Linked DNA regions of Stegostoma tigrinum. The protein of the gene in region 1 interacts with the protein of each later gene in a pairwise test. Links are inferred from orthologs where the notes say so. Each region holds a gene or a part of one and is shown in the gene's direction. Other genes may lie near its edges. The genes, in order: ap3d1 and sybl1.

Region 1 (7,703 bases):
AAATTAAATGGGGTGGAAGGAAGAAGGCTGTGGGAATTCTCATCCACAACTCACCATAGGAATGCAGTAAATTCCACCCATGATTTCTTGGTCCTGCAATCAAACATGTAAATAATGGGTTAGTTAAGACATGCAATTAGGTTCAAGCAGAGTATCTAGATTGAGGTCAACAAACCATTACTTTCATTTTCAAAGGTTTGTGTAATTATGAAAGGGAATCTTCTAAAGTCCTTATCCTAGCTTTGGACCTCATAGGCACGAGACATAAGTCCGAAGCAGATTTTATAAACCTTTCAAACTCTATCAATGTGGATGAAGGAAAGTCTGTGTTTATCTATGAATTGAATTAAACAGAATATATTACAAATTCTCTAATCATGTGAAAATTATTGGATTGTTTTTATGCTGCCGCTTAACCATTTCAGGAAGCTGCTTTATTGTTCATAGTTTTAGTTGTAAAATGTAACAGAGTAATTATTATCTGCCACCCGAAGCCAAAGAATTCATGTCACTTTTCTATTTCTGTACAATTCCTGCACAATATTGCAAGACACATAATGTAAAGTCACAATCTAGCATGTGGCAATGATGTTCAGTGATGATGATGGTTTCTCCGTTACTTCAATGGATATATGCTTAGTAAGGAGTCTCATTTTTTTCCATTTAGGTTAACGTGTGTCTCATACAAAATGGTAAAGCAATCTCCATTTGCAGTTCAGATTGCAAATGTTATATAGCAAATCATTCTGTGTGAACTCACTGGCTTTGTGATGTGTTTGACTTGACCCTTTTCTACTTAAATGTTGAGAGTGCTTGATGTCAGAGACGTCTCAGACATACCCTGGAGCATACCTTGGACTGTGATTCAGTCATGGGCAATGTGGAAGTTGCCTGGAGTAAATGGTGAGCAGAATATGCCAGGTACCCAATTTGGTTTTGATGTTGAGGTTTCCTGACATCCAGCTTTTTAGGTGAGTTTAGTAAGATAGGGCCTAAATATTAAGGATGCAAATTGGGCCATCAACCCGAATTTTAACCAGCAATAACACCCCCCCCCCCCCCACTTAATTGGATCATGGCATTGACTCAACTTTCGTGCATTGGTGGAATTTACCGCACACTTGTCTATACCAATAGAAATGGTTTTCACAAGATTCGTGATTCCAAAGAAGCCTTGTCAAAAAGCTTTCAATGCCTAATGGCCTTCCAGAAACCTTTTTTTCAAATAACTAATCCATGTAACTTTTTTTCCCACTGAGAAATATTAAATGCCTTCATAACAATGCCCACTTTAGGGTTATATCCCACTACTGCAGGAGGCACAGCATACATGGAACTCTGGAGGGATTATTTGCAACCTTCAAGAGTGTGAAGGGTTCCCTTTTTCAACGGTATTTATAGCCTGATTAAGGATTCCACATCGAGTAGGGAGTTGGCCTGGTAACAGCAACTTTCTCACTCCTCCTGTTGATCCCCCCAAAGCCCTTTTACCAGAAGTCCACATCCCATGAATAGCCTCCTACTACCCTTCTCCTGTGCCCCGGTCCATCAGCAATGCTGGATCTTATCTGGTGGTGTACTGGCAGCAGCCATCCCCTCTCCAATGGCACTACTTGCTGTAGAAGGGCTGCTAGCCTCTGACTGGCTTGTGATTCTTAGTGGGTGGAACTTCCATGATTTTGGCAGAAGGCCCTCCACTGCTCTATCAAGTGCCTGTGATATAGGGCTTTTGTCAGCTGTCCAACCAGTGACCAAGAACCCCATCTTCTCCATTAAATCCAGCCCACACATTTGATGAGTGGTTTCCGTCTGCATTTACAATCAGCATGTATTTGAATGGACATATTTCCTACAATTGCAACAAATGAATCGATGCACATAGGCACTGGAGAAATTCCTTCCCAATGTGCAGCACTAAATTTACTGTGGTGAGTCAGATCTTCAAACAGCTCAGAGAAAATGGAAACTGCAGATGCTGGAGAATCCAAGATAACAAAGTGTGAAGTTGGATGAACACAGCAGGCCAAGCAGCATCTCAGGAGCACAAAAGCTGACGTTTTGGGCCTAGACCCTTCATCAGAGGGACCCGAAACGTCAGCTTTTGTGCTCCTGAGATGCTGCTTGGCCTGCTGTGTTCATCCAGCTTCACATTTTGTTATCTTCAAAGAGCTATTGGTTCATTTTGTGGTCAGTGTCAAGTATTGGCACTTATCACTAAGCTTGAAGGAACACACCCTCCTAGATTGAGCAATTTCTGTATGATGGGTTTTGCTATTACTGACTTTAGTTTCAATTTGACTTCTTGTTGAGCAACTTGACGTTAACCAACCAATCACAATAAAATAGTCTTCAGGCTGCAAACCAGGAAATAAAATGCACTGGCCGTTCTTCGCCTTAGAGTGAAATAGATGTTTAAGTCACACACATTTGAAGCTTAAATCACATTGGAAAAAGAGAACTTAAAGTGGAATGGAAAAAAAAATTTAGACAAATATGAAATTAGTTTTCAACAGCCAAAGAGACTATTCAGCAGTAGTACAACATTTAAAAAAAGTCATACTTCATTGACAAGTTGCTGACTTTGGGTCATCGCTGGTGGTGGTTAACGGCAGTATTACAACATAAAAGACAAATTGCTGACTTTGGGTCAACGCTGGTGGTGGTTAACAGCAGTATTACAACATAAAAGACAAAGTTCTTTGTCTGTTTAGTGATTCGAAGTTGATCACAGTTTGAGGAAGTTCGACAGTATGCCCTAGTGAAACAATTAGAATCAGTGGCAGCAACTTCTACATCTGTCTCCACATGTACACAATGGCAAGAGATTATTGATTTCAAGAGGAATAACAGTGGCACTTTTTCATTATCATTGCTACCACAAAATAGCGAGGGGGTTCAAAAACAGGAACAGGAGTGATTTGCTGTGACTGTACAATAGATTTGTAAGACAACACCAGGACAGTGTGTGCAGTCTCAGTTTAAGAATAAAGGGTTTGCCTCTTAGGATTGAGATGTGAAGAAATTTCTTCACCCAGAGGGTAATGAGCTTGTGGAATTCTCTGCCAAAGGAAACTGCTGAAACCAAAACATTGAACATTTTCAAGTAAGTTTTAAATATGTATATAGGTCCTAGGACCAAAAGGATCAAAGCAAATGGAGAGAAAACAGGGCCAGCCATGATCGAATTGAATGGCAGAGCAAGCTCCAAAGGCTGAACAGCATTCTGGTCCTATTTTCCATGCTTCTATGTAAACTGGACTGAAAATTAGAAATCTGAAAATCAGAGTCTTTGAACGTTTTAGAGTTGATGCAGATGAGACACTTGATGACCAAATGGGTAAAAGATCATTGGGTCAGGCGGAAATGTGGAGCAATCAGATCTTGTGATCTAATTGAATCACAGAGGAGGATTCAGGAGCGAGTGGCCTATATCTGCTCCCAATTCGTATCTTCATACCCAACTGACTCAGTTTCATACGCACGGCCCAACTGAACACCACAAAATCATGCTTACAAAGGAAACCATAAAACAACGGAGAGACTATAAACGGTCTTATGCAAGAAAGCAATCTTAGGAAACGAAGATTCTGAGTGGAAATATCAATAATTGTGAAGATGAGCCAACATCGCACAGCCCTATCAATGCTGGCCCACGGTCCTGCGGCACAAGACTGTACCCCTATCAACGCCCCGCCCCGCCCCCTCCGGTGCGGGCCCCGCCTACTCTAGTTGTGGTACCCTCCCACGGACGCCCGCTACCGCCCACTCAAGGTCCCAACTTCTGCGCCCAGCCCCACCGCATTCTACGCCCCACACTGGCCTCGCCCACTGCAAGGGCCCGCCCTGTTTCCCACTGCGCCCCGTCATGGGCGCCCGTCCCTAGGCCGCGCCCTCTCCCGATTAAATCTCCGCCCACGGCTGGACAGACCACACCCACCATCTGTCCCGCCTTCTCCTGCCAAAAGCCTCTCCCCCTCTTAGGACGCGAAGAGTTCGCCCTGTCAACGCCACAGGCCCCGCCCCCTCCACAGCGGGACCCCGCCTATGTCCCATCCCAGGCCCCGCCATCTCAAACAACAGTCCCCGCCCCCTGCCGGACCTGCCCCCTGATCTCTAGGCTCCACCCCCACACTCCGCCGCGCTCCTTCTTTTCTCCTCCCCTTTCCAGTCCCGCAGTTGGTCACCTGACTCTAGCTTAGCCGCGGCCATTTTCTGTTGCTATCTGTAACCTGTAAGTGGGGGACAGTGCAGAGGCAGTATAATTCATTGTTGTGGCTCCGCTGGTTTATTCTACATTCCCTTTCTACGGTTGTGTAGATTCGGGAGAGGAAATCTGGCATGTTTTCCAACATCGGTGGTCGGTGAAAGGGAGAAGGGTTTGTGTAGCTCTCAAGAAGATCCCGGAGAAAGCCGACCCGAAGGAACATGGCTCTGAAAATCGTGAAAGGCAGCATTGACCGAATGTTTGACAAGAATTTGCAGGACCTGGTACGTGGCATCCGGAACCACAAGGAAGACGAGGTGAGTTGGAGCTGTTTTGCAGCCACCGTCACATCGCTGTCACACGAGAATGAGGAGGATTAAGAAACACGGGGAAAGTAACTACAAACGAATGTATCCGAGGCCTAGCATTGATAACAACGGGACAAACCGATCTTTCCATTCTTCACTTCGGCCCGGCGCTCGGGATAGTTCATTTCAGTCTGGAAACTGGGCTGTGGGACGAGCAGCTGCTGTTGACAGGAGCTCCCAAGAATCGGCTCCTTTTTTTCTTCTAACCTGTTTTTGCCTGGCGTTTAATTTCCTTGCGAAAATGTAAATCTGTGTTAAAGCAAACGCCCAAAATAATTGTTTCCCTTGCCAGCCGTCCCCGTTTCTATCTCCCCTCCAACAGTAATACTTATTTTTTTTATGAAATTGACAGTTGAGGGTCCAACTGTGTTTTGGTCCAAAAGCTGATAGTTTTGCTGATGCTGACGTTTGGTAACCTGATCACCAAGGGACGTATGTGGCCAAGCTTCTGACTTGACTCACACCTTATTGCTTACCTAATTGTGCGCGAATATGTTTTACGTTTGTCAATACTTTACCTACATAAACGGAAAATGTGCACATATTGAAGTCCTGATGCGTTGTTGTTGTCTTGAATTTCTCAATACGGCATTTCATTTTGTTTTGACACGGTTGTTTAGTGTATAAAAGTGGTCATTCACTCCAACGTAGAGTTGTAAAACCTTTGGTGATGTCGTGGTAAACCTGTGGTATAATCCTTGTTTGATAATTTTGGTACTGTACCTTTTTGTGTTTCTTTAGCTAACAACTAAGTTAACCTTTTGAGACTGGAGATGACAATGCTTTTCAAAACAGATGTTTTAAACATAGTGGAAAGCTCGCTCTTCTAACAGGAATAGCTTTACTCAAGTTAAATTAACTAGGTTGAGTGCAACCAATATTGTGCTCCCCCTACGATGACAGAATTTGTCCTGTGTACTAGGATCAGCTATTTTGTTTTAAAATAGTGAATGAAAACGAATGTTTGAAGTTTTGTGCCACTTGACACATATATACAGATTTTATCAGATGTTGATTAGTTCACATCCATTCATAATTATGTTGAAAATTTTAAACACTTGCTATTCATTAAGAAATACTAGTTAGATCACAGATTTAAAGAGCCAATTCCTCATAAGTTTCACTTCGTCTTTTGTAGGTGACTGTGCAACTTGAGGGAGAGGGGGTAGGATATGTTCAATGACAAGCATTGTGTTGGGGTGAGACAGGCTTGCTGGACCAACCCCAGTCCAGCATTGGAGCGCTTAAAAATCGAGGGTGGCACTGCAATACTGTTCTGAAGGACATTGTTAGATATGGCATCATGCGCATGAAAGGCCATCTGACTACTTGAATGAACATAAACATTTTAGCACCAATTCACTGAATGTCAGGGTGTAAATTCTGGTGCTCAAGTGAATGATTACCCCTTGATCAACATCTCAGAAACATCTGGTCACTGACATATTGGCTGTGAGAGCTTGATTTGTGCAAATTGGTTTTGTGCATTTCCAACACTTAAAATACTTAATTCACTGTATCATTCTTGGAGTAGTTGTGAAAGGTGCAACAATGCAAACTTTGTAGATTTGAAGAAAAGTTTTTTTGTTAATTTTTGTTAAGGGTACAGTCATCAGGTTACATTTCTTTGCGGCAGTATGAAAGTTTTAATGTGGGAGTTGGAGTTTTGTGAATGTAATCAGGTTGTGAAAAAAGCTTTATGCGTGCCAAACTGATATGATTTGTTGGGGAGTGGAAGAGAGACGGAATGCAGTTTTGGGCTTTTTTTTGGAACTACTGATTTGTTAGTTCTTAAGCAGAAGAATCATTTGGGAACAGTAAAACACCAATCGTGTAGGTCAAGGTACCTTAATTTTGTTAGGAGAATGAGGATAGCCAAATTAATATTGTCAAAAGTAATTTGACATGTAAACTTCAGCTATAACATGATTAAAATTGGTTTATATTTTGAGCGGTTGTATTCCTTTCAGTGACTGCACAATCCCAAAAACTGTGAAATCATCTATAGTCGGTGTTTCCAACTGCACTTTTTGATTCTGTGTCCTGATTCCTTTACTTCAAGTTAAACTTTTAAATTATAATATTTAGCATGTTTGCTTCATTCGATTAACATATGCTGCAAGCATTGGGACATGTATTTAAACTTTATTTAGGTTTCTGAAGTTCCGCCCATGCGTGGTCTCTATGCACCAGAGGAAATTACAAATAATAGCAAAAGTTAATATCCATGGAATTCATTTTAGTAATATAGCAAAACACAGACTCCAATTGTGCCAAACTGCTCTGGTGAAGTTGTGTGGTTGCACGCTTCTTTTCATTCTGCATACTGCTAGCCAACATTATTCAGTTCTTAAGTAGGGAGTGTGTAATTGCATCATCTGACATTGGTGATATTGGAAATTGTTTAAATTCAATTTACGTGGCTGAAGCTAGTGCACAAATCTTGTTTCTTGACATTGTAGGGCTGCAGTTTTGCTTCAGTTCTGTTGATGCAAAAGTGCTAATGGCAAATGGGTGAGTCAAATCACCATAAGCATTTTAAATCTAAGTTGTATAATCCTTTCCAATAGCTGGCTTTGTGACCTCTGTGCTGCATGCTAGTTGCAGCAATCTTCAACTGTCCATAAGACCATAAGACATAGGAGTGGAAGTAAGGCCATTCAACCCATCAAGTCCACTCTGCCATTTAAATCATGGCTGATGGGCATTTCAGCTCCACTTCCCTGCATTCTCCCCGTAGCCCTTGATTCCTTCTGAGATCAAGAATTTGTCGATCTTTGCCTTGAAGGCATCCAATGTCCTGGCCTCCACTGCACTCCATGGCCATGAATTCCGCAAGCCCACCACACTCTCTGGCTGAAGAAATGTCATCTCATTTCAGTTTTAAATTTACCCCTTCTAACTTTAAGGCTGAGCCCACGGGCACTGTCATTGAAGAGCAGGCCTTCAGTGTTTCATGGAAATGATTAAACTGGTCACTTCTGTTTTAGAAACCTGCGTTGCTGAGTGATCTGAATCTGTCCCACTTGAGAAAGATATCTAAATGTTGAATGGTGAACTTCAAAGCTGAAGTTGGAGAACTTCTATTACAAAATCTTCCTTTTGGATTTTTTTTGGAATAATCATGAAAA
Region 2 (7,569 bases), on another chromosome or scaffold:
ACTCCGGGTTGTCGGGGGGGAGCGGAGCCTGCAGGGGTGCTTTGCTGGCCTCGGGCCCATCCTGCGGGGCTGGGCCCTCCTGCATGGCCTGGCTCTCCTGCACATTAGTGGGGTCCTTGCTGGGCCCTGGTGCCTTCCTCTTCTCCGGGGGGGCTGGCCCCGCATTGCCCCTGCCGGCGACCTGGGCGTAAGTGGTCCCCTGCTGCAGGCATGCCCTATAGAGGTGGCCCGCTTCCCCGCAAAGGTTGCAGGTTTGCAAGGTGTCCCTCCTCCCTGCAGATGGTGGCTTTGCAGTCGGCCGCCACGTGACCTGACCTACCACAGGCATGGCAGACTTTAGGTTGCCCTGCATAGGTCAGGTAGCCCTTGCTCCCGCCGATCGCGAAGCTGGACAGTGGGTGTACGACGTTCCCGTCCGCGCCCATCCTCAGCGTCACCTTGACCTGCCTCTTACTGGTCCAGATGCCAAAAGCGGTCCATGATGTCAGTTAGGTCCCCTTCCACCTTCACGTATCTTCCAAGGAAGGTCAGGACATCAGCTGCTGGCACACGCGGGTTGTACATGTGTACAGTCACCATACGACCCCCTGCGCTGGCACCACAAACAGCGGGACAGCGGTCAATACAGAGAGGGGGCCCTCACCTCCTTTCTCCTTGAAAACCTCCAGGAAGCGCTCGCAAAGCTTGGCACTCCTGAAGGTCACATTGTAAAAACCTCCTCCGGGGAAATCCTGCAGGCAGTAAATGTCCGCAGCAGCGAACCCACAACAGTCCAACAGGACCCTCTTCATGAAGAAGGTGCGGTCCACAGGTGCACCTTCATCCACCTTCTTTACAGAAACACAAATGGTGTTCCGGACCCCCTGACCTGGGGCACGAGCACTTGCCGCAGCCATCGTTGCAGGTTGGCTGCTCCCCTAAACCAGTGTTAGGCCGAAGCCAGCATTAAGATCAACCGGTCGCAAGGGTGCACAGCCATCCCGACGTCCTTCTTTCACCTCCAACACAGCACTCTCCTCCTCTCGGTCCACAAGAGAGTGGGTCTTTATTTTGTTCCAGATGTAAGCTGGTTCACTGATCTTGAAGGTTTGTTCCCAGATGTTTCGTCACCATTCTAGGTAACATCATCAGTGAGCCTTCGACGAAGCGCTGGTGTTATGTCCCGCTTTCTATTTATCTGTTTAGGTTTCCTTGGGTTGGTGATGTCATTTCCTGTTCTTTTTCTCAGAGGGTTGTAGATGGGCTCCAAATCAATGTGTTTGTTGATGGAGTTCCGGTTGGAATGCCATGCTTCTAGGAATTCTCGTGCGTGTCTCTGTTTGGCTTGTCCTAGGATGGATGTGTTATCCCAATCAAAGTGGTGTCCTCCCTCATCTGTATGGAAGGATACTAGTGATAGTGGGTCATGTCTTTTTGTGGCTCGTTGATGTTCACGTATCCTGGTGGCTAGCTTTCTGCCTGTTTGTCCAATGTAGCAAGACTATGGCAAACACTACATTGGACAAACAGGCAGAAAGCTAGCCACCAGGATACGTGAACATCAATTAGCCACAAAAAGACATGACCCACTATCACTAGTATCCTTCCATACAGATGAGGAAGGACACCACTTTGATTGGGATAACACATCCATCCTAGGACAAGCCAAACAGAGACACGCACGAGAATTCCTAGAAGCATGGCATTCCAACGGGAACTCCATCAACAAACACATTGATTTGGAGCCCATCTACCACCCTCTGAGAAAAAGAACAGGAAATGACATCACCAACCCAAGGAAACCTAACCAGATAAATAGAAAGCGGGACATAACACCAGCGCTTCGTCGAAGGCTCACTGATGATGTTACCTCGAATGGTGACAAAACGTCTGAAAACTAACCTTCCAGCTCAGCGAGCAAACTCACATCCAGAACAAGTTACAATCTCAGCAGCAGATGAGCTGAGGTAGGAGCTGAATCGAGCAGTGCTGCAGAGTTGGAAGGAGACGATCTTCGTGTGGAAGTGAATATGCAGTCAGCTAATGTGCAATCATATTCAACAGTCTTAAACAGTGGCCACAAAGATGAACAGGGTCAATAGCTTGGGAGATGAGATTGTTTGAAAGTTTAAATCTTCATCTCTGCTTACCTCTATCCAACCTGCTGTTTAGTTTAGATTTGAAGAATTCTACCCCATCCTACCAAAACAGTGATGGCCAGACTTACTGACTGATCAAGTGTCAGGAGCTTTCTATGTGACTGATTACATTAAAATGATGAAAGTTATAAGATCATCATCTCGAGGTTGGATCTTCAATTCATGATTAATTGAAAAGTGGTTATGTGACCTGTTCTGAATTGCTCTTGATAGCAAGCATGGATTGTTTGTTTGTTAGAGCAAAGAGGATCCAATTTGCTAAACTGAGAAGGTCCAGACCAATCTACCCAGCAGAAATGAATCTGTCAATTACCTTATTGGTTGGGCAGGCCACTTCTTGTAAAGTCCTATCTGCACATTGCAAATACGCTCTATCCTGCTACATGGCACTACCATTCTACTAAATGGGGCAGAATGGGATAGCAACTCAAAACTAAGCACCTTTGAGGCATAGTGGGCCATCAGCAACTGAATTAAATTCAGCTACAATCTGTAACTTCATGGCCTTGCATAACTCTGCTGTACAATTACTATCAAGCAGAGAGCCTGATTCAATGAAGAGTGCAAGAGGGCATGGCAGGAGCTACACCAGACATATCTCAAAGTATGCAGAAACTACAACACAAGACTACTGCATATCAAATGGCAGAGGCAGCAAATGATATAAAGAGAGCTAAACGATCCTACACTCAATGAATCAAACCTAAGCTGAGCAGTTTTTCAACAACTAGTCAGTAACAGTAGTGGACAACTGAACAAGTGGAGCAATAGGCTCCAAAAACAACTCTTTCCTCAATGAAAGGCAGCCTAGCATATCTATGCAAAAAAGCAAAGATGAAACATTTGCAACCCTCTTCAGCCAGAAGTGCTGAGTACATACCTTATACATCAACATCATTTATATCAGTCTTCAGCCAATTCAGTTCACTCTGTATGATTTCAAAAAACAGCTGACAGCACTGGATACCACAAAGACTATGAACCCTGATGATAGTGCATTGATGGTATTAATTTTGCACCCTTCTTAAAATAGAAAAACAATACTGCTTTGTGGAAGCTGAGAAGAAATACATCTTCTTCCCTGACTTGTACAAAGTCTGAAGGTTTGAGCAAATATTCATGCCTACCCACTTTATTGATCTCTGCAGAAACATTGTCCAACCATACAGTGTTATATTTCATCTTTTGGATAGTCTCTCAGCAAACGTGGGCATATACCCAAAGTTAATCTATCAAACTGTTGGAATCTTGTCTGAAACTAGTAATGCTCTTTCCAAAAATCTTGGGTGACTACATCGTATTTGAGGAGTATATTACTGCCTTCAAGATTGTTTGTTTTTGAACCATTCAAGGTCTAAGGTGGCCTGGAAATGGCTGAGCATGTTAGAGAGGTCGGCATAGCATTGGATTTCAACGGTCTTCTATGCCCACTACTTATTCTTGTTGACAGACATGCTCAGAACTTCATATGTGAGTCATAAGTATTTTTTTCCTGTGATATAAAGTAATTGCTTTGAAGACAGCAAATAATAGTCTGTCTACAGACTCCATATTCTCAGACCTTATCGTTCTTTCCAAACGCCTTCTGAAAATTCAGATCACTTGCATCTATGATTTTATCAATTTTCTCTAGTACCGCCTCCAAAACAAAAACAAAAACAAACAAGGTTAGTCAAGTTAATAAAATGTGAGGCTGGATGAACACAGCAGGCCAAGATGCTGCTTGGCCTGCTGTGTTCATCCAGCCTCACATTTTATTATCTTGGAATCTCCAGCATCTGCAGTTCCCATTATCTCTGATACTAAGGTTAGTCAAGTGCTGGACACTACGAGAGAACGTACTCACCACTTCCAGGACAGGTTTCTGCATCCCTTCAGCTGTTGCCATCCTCACGCTGTCGCTCTGGGGTCCACTTCGACACTGGATGTCGACGCCGGTATTAAACGTCGTTCTCCATGGATGCCGGGAATTGTAGTCTTCGAAGGATAAACGCGCCTGTAAATGTCCGTTACTTTCACGGCTTGAACGACATTTCCCATAATTCGCGTAAGGCTGATGGTTGCGTGCGTTTTGTGAGGAGGCTGGCCGTGTCGACCTGTGCGTGCGCGTGGCAAAGGTATCACCTGACCGGAAGTGTGTGGAAAGGGTGAAGCTTGAGGATAAGGCCCCGGAGTGGAGGAAGCTCAGGGAAGGGTATGGGACAGTTTTTGTTTAATTGTTGCTGTCATTAGGACGTTAGTCGAGCTCGCCCAGAGTTTGTGGATGCTGTTTGTTTTTATGGTGAAGACATGTAACGTCGTAGTGTGGAGCTTTCAGTTTGGGGAATGTTTACCTAGGGAAAGGGCTCAGGTGTCACTGGTGTTTTGATGAGCTGCAGGTGGAGAACTTCAGCTGTGGGCTGTGTTGGGTCGCATCGCTTCTTCCGTTTGTTGTAAGACCCGTACTTGAGTATCTAACGTTTACTGCGAAGCGTGAACGGTTGTTGGTGAAGGAAGCTCGAAAGCGAAATTAGTTGGAGGATCAGTTTGAGACGTCTTGCAAAGACTATTTAGAGCTCTAGGCCACAGTTGGTCACCACGCTATTGGAAGGGTGTACTTGCAGAAATGATCCACTGGGATTGAACATTTTGGCCACAAAGACAGAGTCGCTAAACTCAGGTTATTTACTTCTCAGCAGAGAAGGTTGAGGTGTATAAGACTGAGGAGAAAGGACTTGTTCTCCTTGGTGGCTGGGTTAACAAGGAGGTGTAATCTTTAAGGTAAAAAGTAGGAAGTTTAGAAGGGATTTAGAGAAAAGCTTTTTTGACTGTATGGTGGTGGGGATCTGGAATACACTGTCTGGGATGGCAGTTGAGGTGGGGAAATCTCAACTTTTGAAAATGTACTTGGATGAACACCTTGAAGTGTTGTAATATTTAAGTCTATGGGTCTAGTGTAGATGGTAATAGTGTAGTTTTGGCAGTAAAGAGTTAATGGACCAAAGGGCCTCTTCTGTACTACATGATTCTATGAAGTAAGGTGAACATTCATTTCAATCCTATTTCCAGGCTAGCATTAAAATTGATTCTAAGCAAAGCACTATGACTTTAAAACTTTCTTGTCTGGCTGGCTTGTTCCTTAATCTGTAACTGTGATCCTGCTTTTCTCATTATGATGTCTTGTACTTTTCAGTATGGAGTAAATAGTGTGTTCATAGTGGGAGTATTTATCTTGTTGTAATCTAGTGATTTGAAAGTTGTGATGTACATTTGTATTTTGTATCACCTTTTCAGAGGAGCCATGGCTATCTTGTTTGCAGTAGTTGCAAGAGGCACTACCATCCTGGCAAAGAATGCCTGGTGTGGAGGGAATTTTTTGGAAGTGACTGAACAGATACTATCAAAAATACCATCAGAAAATAATAAACTGACTTATTCTCATGGAAAGTAAGTCCCGAGATCTTTGAGCTGAGAATTTTGTAACTGCTGCTTTCACATGCTGAGAAGTTTTGTTTTGGCATATTTTGAGTTAAAAGCAGAAGCGTCATTTCTCTATGAGTGATATCATGCATGTATGGAAAAGTTGTTCTGGTAATGAACCATTCTTTCTTACATTTATTGGACATTCTGTAGAATAAACATTCACAAGGAAGTTCCTGTAATCTAACACCATTGTGATCCTAGACTAGGGTCCTTCCCCCACCCCCTCTTCCCCCTGCACCTTCCCTGTTATTTTATGGTTAATGAGATTGATCATGTTTTTGTGTCTATACTCTTTGGAAAATAGAGTTTAATGGAATGACTTACTGCCACACAGCCAACAATATGCTGAAATTTGAATACTTGCCCATTTTTGGCAAGATCACCAGATTAATGGGATGACAGGATTGTCATGAAAGATTGAGGAAACTTGGTTTGTGTTCTCTAGAACTTTGGAAATGCAAGAAGTGACCCTTTTGAAACCTATACAAGTCATAAAATGTGACAATGTAGATATAAATAGGGCACCTCCTCTGTGACCTTAGACCCAGGGACAGATCTCCGGCTAAGGAGCACAGCATTTTAAGACTGTGATAAGGAGGAAAATCTTCAAATGAAAGGCATGAGTCTTTTTAGAATTCTCTACTGTAGAGGATTGTGGAAGCTCAATCATAGTGCAGGTTGAACTCAAAATATGTCACTTAAGGGACATTGTGATAGTGGGAAAAGAACTGGCACTGAGATGATTGATCACCTAGGATGGTGAAATAGCTCTGTGCTGAATGGCTCACCCCTTTTCCTGGGTCAAACTAGTTGGGTTACTTATGGATGGAGAGTAAACTTGTTTTAACTCTGTATTTTAACAGTTTCTGTAAAAGAGAGACTTGTCATTGTAGTGCTAATAGGATTTTTCCATTTCTAATTTCAGCTTATCTATGGCTGCCATGTTGCTGCTGACTTTAACTGCATTTATATAATGAACCCAAATTTAATTTTGCATAGGCATTTGCTTGGAGAGATGTCCATCCACATCATCAGAGCTAAATTTTAACTCGTTTAATGTATTCAAAGTTCAAGTTTTTAAACTATAAAAGGCATCAAGGGGTATGAGAGAAGGTGGGCATCTCCAGAGATTAAAGGATCAGCTATGATGTTAAAAAGCAGAGCAGACTTGAAGGGCCAAATGACTGCCAGCTCCTGATTTGTACTTAAATCAGATGGAAGAATACAGAGACAATGCATTGACAATGGCACTGCTAAACCACATTTTAAGCCTGTAAATTTTGCTTTAAAATGCCTTGAATGCCCTATGCCTTGGTGAGATAAAATGTTAATTGTTAATGTGCAATTGCTAATCTGTAACACTGTTTGGATTCAGTAAGTGGAATCTAGATAGGTTTGAGCAAGACTGCTTGTATTGTATGTTGATTTTGTTTGAGAGTTTTGCCTTTTGTAGGTGTAGTGTTACGTAATCTGTTTATGTCACAACTTTGTACCCTACTCCTTCCAAGCTTACAACTGGAATGTAACTAAGGTCACAGTTGTCTTGTTTAGAAAATTATCTGCTTTATTTTCGCTTTGCCTGTACCTTGCATCACCTGATCAATTCTTTTCAAATACAGATCTCATTAACCACATCCACTTAGCACAAACTTCATTTACAGCAGTTCGGAGTCTGCAGTCTTCTGTATTAAATTTGACAAATTCATTGGACACTGTCCTCCTCCAGTGGCTCAACTGGTGCACCTGTTTACAAATCTCTACGTCTCTCAAGCTATTTGGATATTCTTCAGTCAGATGTCCAGGTGTATGTACACTGCCTCCGAGTCTGGAGTGGTTTTTGTTTCCTGACTCACTCCATTAGAATTTTGTGTAGTTAGTGTACCTTTTCAAAATTTCCAAACCCTATCTCTTTTTGCATGTTCAGCTTCCTAACTTTTTATTTGACGTGCTTTGTAAGTCATTTTTATGA

The links.
Region 2: the proteins of ap3d1 (region 1) and sybl1 interact in a two-hybrid assay, tested with the Homo sapiens proteins (2 studies listed by BioGRID and IntAct). The link is inferred for Stegostoma tigrinum from reciprocal best matches to the Homo sapiens genes AP3D1 and VAMP7.

The regions. Positions count from the first base shown.
Region 1 is NC_081383.1:19,183,577-19,191,279, reverse strand, and holds the start of ap3d1 (AP-3 complex subunit delta-1), read left to right. Parts: upstream 1-4,187; 5' UTR 4,188-4,425; coding exon 4,426-4,521; intron 4,522-7,703. UniProt on the Homo sapiens protein: Part of the AP-3 complex, an adaptor-related complex which is not clathrin-associated. The complex is associated with the Golgi region as well as more peripheral structures.
Region 2 is NC_081368.1:48,299,071-48,306,639, reverse strand, and holds the start of sybl1 (vesicle-associated membrane protein 7), read left to right. Parts: upstream 1-4,221; 5' UTR 4,222-4,332; intron 4,333-5,411; 5' UTR 5,412-5,418; coding exon 5,419-5,564; intron 5,565-7,569. Other genes in the region: polr1d (DNA-directed RNA polymerases I and III subunit RPAC2), read right to left, coding at 3,985-4,026. UniProt on the Homo sapiens protein: Involved in the targeting and/or fusion of transport vesicles to their target membrane during transport of proteins from the early endosome to the lysosome. Required for heterotypic fusion of late endosomes with lysosomes and homotypic lysosomal fusion.